Linked DNA regions of Solanum lycopersicum. The protein of the gene in region 2 interacts with the protein of the main gene of each other region in a pairwise test. Links are inferred from orthologs where the notes say so. Each region holds a gene or a part of one and is shown on either strand. Other genes may lie near its edges.

Region 1 (4,516 bases), on a different chromosome or scaffold from region 2:
CCAAAATACTTAACAGAGAAAACAGTAGAATTGCGTATGGGGAAAACACACAGCTAAAGTTAGACGTGTCAATTTTGACTTACTACAAGAAGCTTTGATTTGCTATTCCATCCTCTTTGGAGAGTCATCTGAGATAATTTCAGACCCAGTACCTGCGTAAACAAAAAATCTTAGTGGTTCAGCGAATCAACCAGCGAAGTATCTAAATAATGAGCTCAAATATGAAAGTTTTTCCAAGAGGCAAAGGCAAAAATGTTCAGCATACTCGGCCCATGAATTCCAGAAGTTCATTATTAGCTTCCCCACGAGCTGCAGGTGCGGTTACAGTGACCCGAACATCATCTGCATTCACTCCTACAACAATATAAATGTCAAATAAGCGAGACATCAACATCAAGGCCAAAATAGATAAGTTAACAGTACAACCGCTAAATTTTTCAGCTTTTACAATTAGCAGAAGAGTAGGAATTATTATTATTAATCATCTGCAGAATTGTTCAGGTGGACAAATCATTTCCCAACACTGAAGAAATTGAAGCAAATGAGAGTGTCTAACTTCCAAAAATCATTGAAGGATTATTTACTTGTAATTGCTGACCGCTGGGCACGGTCCTCGACTTCTATCGCCACTTGCACAAGGCCACCTTCTAACTGTGATATACATGGTGGTACAGGAGCATCCTTCATAAAACAAGAAAATATTAATTCCTAAAGATATATATGTATCTGGAAGAACATGTATATAATTTGACAAGTAAGAAAAATAAGGAATTTTCTGTGTTCGAATAAAGCATAAGATTTTTTTACATGATCTTACAAACAAGCAAGGGACAGAGAATACAGAAAGATTAACAAGCTAATGCAGAAAAGAAGTGTAAAAAAGCAGACAACAATCATATTTATGGCTTGCTACAAATACAGAAAATATGTAGGCATAACTATATAATGCAGCCAGAAAGTGAATAACAGCAAAATCATTAGGATATAATACCTGTGGATTTGTCTCAGCCGCAATAGTGCTAAGTGCCCCATCAACTACATATATGAAAGAGGCAGTCTCCAGATCTTCTTCTGCCCGATAGCAGACAAACAGGCCACATCCCTTACAGGACATCCGAAACTGTTTCTCCATTTTCCCTTCACCACTATAAAGCAAAAGCAAAAGGTTTCAAAAGAATGTTCCATATTAAATTGTTACTCATATCAGTCATCAATAATAAAGTTCTTTTCCACTGAAGCAAGAGACATGAACTAAAGATCTCTACGTTAACGAGCAGCTGCAAAAGGCCAACCGACAAAGTACATCACAAAGACAGAAAGTAATTAAGTCCACGTTCAGTTCAGTTTTTCCTACTGACATTTGACTGTATTTTACTCACCATCTTTGTGGTTCCCCAATGGTAATAATATTTTGGTCTGCATGTTATCCATGTTCATTCCATATATGTATTCCAGTAATAATTTAGATATACCTATTTTAAACTCTTCTGATGATGTCATTCCACTGTAGGTCAAGTTTATTACTGCAAGGATTACATGAGCTTCATTTTAACTCTTAGAATCTAGCAACGCTTCCCTTACAAACAGAGCAAGGTATTCCATTTTAAACTGAAACACCTTGTAATCTTGACGTGTAATTTCGTACATTCTTCTACAGATGATTGCATATACTTTTAATGGAAGCAACATCAATATACTAAAGTTTACAGGAGCAGAAAGATTACCGCTTTAGAAGAACTTTCCCCGCATCATCTACACTCAGTCTTGCGAGATACTTTTTTTTATCCAATACATATGCCTTGTCGGTTTTCCTTTTTGGCATTTTCTGCAATTGATTATCTACAACCATACTTTAGCAAGGAGAATGCCCTGTAATTGGCAGTAACCCCATAATATATAACAACAACATACCCAGTGTAATCCAACGGGCCACAAGTGGGGTCTGAGCAGGGTAGGATGTATACAGACCTTACCCTTGCCTTTGTGGGATAAAGAGGCGGTTCCCGAAAGACCCTCGGCTCAAATGAGAAGAGAAGAGAAAAATGCCATAATATAGTAAAAGTAACAATAAATCCTCTCTCATTCTTAATATAATCATAAGGAAGTTTTTCTCCATCATGCCAATAACAAGAAAAAAATTATACACCACCTAATCACATCTAATCCGCGCACAAGAAGCAAAAGACGACAAACCATTAGACGTCGAAATTTGAAGAAACGGATAATACTGGAAACTAGAAATTCTCAACGTTCAACGTAGCATGTATCACATTCCATCATATAACCAATTACTAGTTACTACTATAAACATAATGACTCAATAGTTCAGAAGAACTTCTCTAAATCACTTCCAGACCATAGTTGACTCTCCAAACTTTTCAGATTTTAGCATAATTCAACTAGTTCCTTCACACCAATTATCATAAACCTCAACATCCCACCTCATCTCTAGAAGTAAAACTTTCAACAATAAAAAAAATGCGATTTACATAGTACTGTAAACTGAAAATTCAACAAATATAACAAATAACCAACCAAATTAACGCTCATTCGTTTTAAGTACAGTGCGAGTAAATTTGTTTACAGAATAGAGAGAAAAAGGTGAGAGTACGAACCGGAGATGAGGACATGAGAACTGCAGTGCTTGCAGTAATACACGAAGAGATCGGAGTTGGTACCGTCGGTAACTGCGTCTTCGCTAGAGTATGTGTGCGTTGTCCTCTTCGGCATCTTTCCCCTAAAACTCTCGCAAGTACACCGCCGGAGAAGGATGAAGATTTTATTATTTTTTCTCTTTTTTTCGTTCTCTTTCAGCTCGATTGGATATTCCCAGTAAATTCTACTTTTGCCCTTGTCTTTTTCTTATTTGGACAGTTTGCCTCCAACTTCACTGTAAAAACTCAAATGTGACCCCATAATTTTTCGAAATGAAAGATGTTCTCGGATTCTCTATTTTATTTTATTTACTTGTTCATTTTAATAAATTGAGGGATTTTTATTATTTTTCTTCTATACTACTCAAAACATAATTAGTCAAATTGAGAACTTTGCATATAACTTAACAAAGGTTATTTAATAAAAAAAATTTAAAGATTGTGTCACGTCAATATGAATCAAATAATATAAAACAAAAAAAGTAATAGATTATCTTATTGATATTTAATTTTACGTTGTATACAATAATATGAACAAAAATCTTGTGCATTTGCCTAAGAAAGTAATGTAGGTGTGAAATTCTACATTATTAACACAATGTTTCAATTCTCATTATCGTTTTCCTTCTCTTTTTTAATGCGGGACATAATGTGAGAAAAAATATAATGTTAACGAAAATTTGGAGTGCTCAATATTGTATATTTTTATCTACGACAATATTTTAAAAAAAGACATGCGATTTAAACTCTCAAATTTAAGGGCCTCATTTTTAATAATAATAGGCTATGTTATTATTATTTTTAACAAATATTGAATATTATTTGTAGAAAACAGTAACTTTTCATGAAAAATGAAGGAATTATAGAAGAAATTTAACATGTTTAAAGTATATCTCATTAATATAATTTTAAAAGAATTTGATCATATTATCAATTGAAAACTAGAAGAAAATAATTATATAAACATTATCAACAATTTAGGTGTAAGACCCATACATTTTCTTTAAGCCATTAATATATTTGAGTTGCCGCTTTAGATATTAATTCCTCGTACGAACTACCGTTAAATTTTCTAGTACTTTCTAATTTAGATTCAATATTTTTCTATTGTTTTCCCTTTGTTTTCATGTTTCCAGGCCTAGTTACATTAAATTCACAATAGACTATCATTTGATTTTGATTTTTGAGTATTGAAAATGTTAAGAACATTATTTACAATATGCATAGTAACATCAAATGATTTTGAGATTTTTTAAAATGATTAACACTGCTCAATTAGTAACATCATTACATTCCTCATATAACTTTCAAATTTTAAAAAATGATATTTCCTATCCGAACTATTGATTTAATGTGTATTCGTTCACTACCACTTTATAATAAACAACTCGAATTAACATCTTGAGCTTTTTTCATCACTTCAACGTCATCAAGTAATTCATAGTTAAGTAACAATAAAGACTCTTGTAACTGTCGATTTGGGGTGATCACATTGTTACTTTAATACAACAACATAGACAGTATAATCACACAAGTAGAGTTAGGTAGTAAATATGGCGATGTATGATAATAATAATAAAATGAAAACAACAGATAGCAAGATGTAGAATAAGCACAACAACAAATGTAGTAATACAAATTGAATGAACAATGACAAACATCACAACAACAAAAAAAACCAGACTAGTGTCTTTGAAGAGAAATGTCATCTCCGCTTTGAACCAAGAAAATTTTTACGTTAAAATAACAATTAAGATGAAACAGGGTCATGTCAGGAACGGAACTGAGGAACAACTCCCCAATATAGAGCTTTAGACAATCGGTAAAATCACAAATGAAAAAAAAGCAAGATACAATAAACC
Region 2 (4,518 bases):
CTGTTTCACAATCAAAAGGCGGTGAGTTAGAAGGAGCAGCCTATAACGATTAACCACTAAACAAAGATTTTCACTCCAGCTACATACATATCAGTTAGTCATAACATCAAAAACTGTACCAATGTTACCAAGAGTTCTCAATGGCTTCTGGAATAATAGCTAATCATAAGAAAAGTTCAGCATATTTTGGAGGCATGATGTGGTTTACTCAGGAAAGGTCAAAGGATACAAGATATGTTGGGGTTTACTAAAGGGAGCCCTCCAATCAGGTACCTGTGTTCCTCTTAGTACTAAGAAGATAAAAATCATTCAGTGCTAGCCTCTACAACGTAAGCTAATTGGTAGAATTGGATCTTGGACAAACTGATACAAGGAACATTAAAAAGGCTAACCTTTAAAGGTTGTCAGCCAACAGTGACTTCATTTCAGCAATTAGCATAGCTAATCAGAAAAACTCCAGATTTGTATCACACCTAATAGCAAGTTGACAAAATTCTTCGTTCATGAATGAACATATCATACAAGCTGGCCTAACAAATACATAAATGAGAAATGGATAACAAAGCACTGAACTTTGGAACAAGCGGTGTGCTTCTGGAAACCCATCAACGACGGTATCTGTGACGCTTGAAGTTAAAGTACAAATGCAGAATTCCTCGGTCGAATATGCACTTGAATCCCTTTTTATGGGAGTACTCCCATTCTCTGTTAACAATTCGGAAAGCTATGTCCTCATAAGGAGGGCCAGCATGGAATTTTATGATGCAAGTATCAGCACTATCTCCATCTTTCTCTATGACATAAGTTGGAGCTCTTGCTTTGTCAACAAGATCAGGATAGAAGATATTGAATTTGTATCCCTGCACAATCTTTGGAGGTGGGTTGTCATGATCATAATGAGTTTGATTATACTTGTTCCATTCATAACCAGTATGAACACGGTTGAAATACTTAGGCTTCCTTGGCCTATACTTGTCATGCCACCAGTACACCTGTGAATCAAGATTAATTTCATCATTTGAGCCAAATACTACATCCCCTTCCTCCATTGCTCCCATAGTTTTAGAAGCCTTCTTCTCAAAGTTGTCTTCTGCAGGAGTCGGTGGCAAAATCTTGTCTTGGGCACGTCTCTCTTCCAAAACAGCCATACGTTTCCTCTCGAGTATCGCCCTGTCCTCTTCAGGATCAACTGCTTCTTCTATATCATCCCCGTGCATTAAGACAGGCGAATAAGAACCAGCCTCTTCATCGTCTATTTCTTCTTCCTCCTCCCCCTCCACCTCCTCTTTCTCCTTAACTACCTCATTCAAGATTGGTTCTGGAGAAATGGCTCGAACATCATTTTGCTCATGATCCGTGTCTTCCTCATCAGTCCTCAATGTCTCTTCCACCTCTACATCACGGCTCTCCACTGGTTTCTCAAGATGCTCAAGATGTTCGCGCAGCATTTTAGCGTGAATTTCCCTTAAACAAGCCTTAGCCTTGTAAATCTGAAGCCGTTTAAGAACAGCTTCCCAATATTCTACAACTTTAGCAGTACCAGATCGCATTTGTGATTCAATTTGTGACTGCAATGCTTCTAATTCACCATAACCTTTACCTTGTAACAAAGACTTCACATCTGTTTCAATGCTGGAATGCAAACCCCTCTCTTCTGCTAGCAATTCATGTGGTAACTCCTCTCCGCGTACTCGTGCTTTGTCCATTGCTTCCCTTCTCCTAGCTTCAGCCAACTCCCAGTCACAAACCACCAAAAGGGCTTCCCAATACTGTATATGCAGTGGTGTTTCCCTATCCAAATCAATATGCAATTTTATATCCTCCTGAAGTTCTTCCATCTCTTTTATAGCCAAACCCTTGAACACCACATAGGGCTCGTCTATTTCCACATCGAAATCTCCAGAAGGTTCTAATTGCTTGATAAGAACATCAATAGGCTTAACACGACCTTGACGAAGACGAATTTCAGTCCGGACTTTGCTCTGATCGAAATGAAACTCTTCTTCCTTCTTCTCCCAATCCTGGAACTCAGCCCGGGCCCGTTCTCTAGCTAGCATCTGTAATTCTTCTTCTCGTTGAGCTTTTTCAATTGCTCTTTCTTCTCTCCTTTTCTTCACCTTTTCAATTTCAGCCATTCTTTCTTTCTGCCTTTGCTTCTCTGCCTTCATCGAGAAAGTATCGAGCGGTACCCCTCGAGTAACATCTCGTTCAATTTTTTTCCGCCAGACAAAATTTTCGTTCAGATTCGAATCTCCAAATGGATTTGAATCGTTCGAATAACCAGAAACATTCTGCGTTTTCAGCTTCTTCGCTACTTTCGCTGCCTTCTTCTGTGCTTTTTTAGCCATATACAAAGCAATTTCTTCTTCAGTAATTTTCTTCTTTTTCTTCTTTCGCTCGTCGTCACTACTCTCTTGGTCTGCATAATCATGATTTCTCGATCTGCTACTATGACCTCGACTTTTGCTTCTGCTACTGCTTGAACGGCGGCGGCTGCTACTCGGCGGAGATGAGTCGGATTCGGATTCCGACTCGGTGTGAGAAATTGAATCGGAGTCTGATGCAATATCGTCGGAAGATCGGCGGCGGCGTCTGCCGGACTTTGACGCCGTCTTCCCTTTACTACGACGGTTGCCGGAGGAACCCATTGCGGCGGCGGGATAAGCTAGATATCCAATAATCAGATTGAGATGAATTAAGGTTTTGGGGATTTTTGCTTTTCTTCTTTTTAAATATTTTTTATATATATAAAAGTGGCATATTTGGTCAAGCGGCTAAAATATATTTATTTTGAATTTTATTTTTAAAAAAATAATTGTTGACTAATTAATTTCAAGAATTATCAATGAAAAGTTATTTTTCACTCATATTGGGTTGGAGATCTACAACAAGAAATTTGACTTCAAAGATTAGAAAGTGTATTAGCATATAATTTTATACTAGATTTAAAATTAAGTCAATAATAAATTATTTATATCGTTATATTAATTAATGGCGACAAAAATCAACAAAGGAATAATTATTTGTGCATGTTAAAAATAACTCATCCTTAATTGATATAAGAAATTCTTTCTTCTTCCATTCACTTGTCCTACCAAAGATTTTAATTTAATTGTTCTGTATTTTCGATAACATAAAGCTTAAATTCATTATTAGAAATAACAATTTTATCTTAATCAATCATTAGTTCTCTATGTATTTAATCATATTCAATATTCTTTCGTCCATTTCCGCAAGGGATTTAATCAACATTAATAATATTATTAGTTATCATTTTTATTAGTTATACAAAAGATTGTCATGATATAACATTAATAGCATAACAATAGAGATCATGTACGAGGTGGAATATAATGAAAGAATAGTAATGAAAAGATGAAGAGACTGCACTTAGTTGATATCTACATAAAATAAAATATTTATAACAGTATTCTATATATTTTTTTCTTTGGTATTAATTTGTTTTATATATTTAATATCAATTAAAGATATTTTTTTATGAAAAAGGTGAAAGGATATTTTAATTTATATAAAAAAATATCAATAATTAACTGTTTGACTAAAAGTATATTTATCATCAATAATTTGATCCAAACTTTTTTTTCTAAATAACTACTATTTTTGAAACATGTTTTTTTCTAATATTAATTTTTTTTATTATCAAATACTTATCTTACTAGGGTATTTTTTTTATCATCGTTATCTAAATAAAAATTAATAATAAAATTATTGAATAATATATATATATATATATTAGACATATAATCCGTTAAAATGTATATAATTATTTTATTATGATTGATAAAATGAAATTAAGAAGGAGAAAATTACTTTTTATTTATTTATTTATTTATTAAAGTGATTTAAAAGAAAAAGATAAAAATATTATTCTTTCAAATAATAATTTTATCGGAATAGGATGTGCTTAAAACCTAACAAGGATTGTTATAATGTGTCCTTCATTTTTAATCATAGATTTTAAATATGATTTTCTTACGTATAAAGTCGCTTATTCAATGTCAAATATCGAATGAAAAATTAAACACTATATATTTTAAAAAAGAAAATGAATAACATTTTTATTAAAATGAGGATATTTTTTATTCAAATTAAGCATCTTTAAACCAAATAAAAAAAATATGTTTAATAAGAAAGTAAAGAAAGGTTTATCAGGAAGAATATTTTTTTGACTCATTAAGTACACATTAGTCACTTTTACTTGTCAGATGTAAACTCAATCCTAAAATAAATTTTTATTTTTAATTATCAGTTTTAACATATCAAAAAAGGATTAATAATTTTTTTTATGTTTTATCCTCATTATTAAATAATTATTTTCCAAATCTTTTTCTAAGATATCATTTGATAGAGTATAGTTAAGTAGAATACCTATATCAATAAATTATTTTTTAAATGGGTATGTCAAAGCAAATTGTAGCAACTAAAAGCATAGTTAAAAGGTTTACCCTAATCTCCTTCGACAAAAAATTATATAATTTATATATGATTAAAATAAAT

What was found.
Region 1: the proteins of splicing factor Cactin (region 2) and UPF0235 protein At5g63440 interact in binary tests that used the Arabidopsis thaliana proteins (3 or more experiments, as listed by UniProt). The link is inferred for Solanum lycopersicum from reciprocal best matches to the Arabidopsis thaliana genes AT1G03910 and AT5G63440.

What each region holds. Positions count from the first base shown.
Region 1 is NC_090802.1:58,721,525-58,726,040, reverse strand, and holds the start of UPF0235 protein At5g63440, read right to left. Parts: upstream 2,827-4,516; 5' UTR 2,731-2,826; coding exon 2,616-2,730; exon of another isoform or gene 1,912-2,615; intron 1,840-1,911; coding exon 1,725-1,839; intron 1,146-1,724; coding exon 992-1,145; intron 682-991; coding exon 585-681; intron 355-584; coding exon 266-354; intron 153-265; coding exon 84-152; intron 1-83. UniProt on the Arabidopsis thaliana protein: May play a role during early embryonic development. Probably involved in pre-mRNA splicing.
Region 2 is NC_090809.1:63,797,398-63,801,915, reverse strand, and holds splicing factor Cactin, read right to left. Parts: upstream 2,899-4,518; 5' UTR 2,649-2,898; coding exon 606-2,648; 3' UTR 379-605; downstream 1-378. UniProt on the Arabidopsis thaliana protein: Plays a role in pre-mRNA splicing by facilitating excision of a subset of introns. Required for embryogenesis.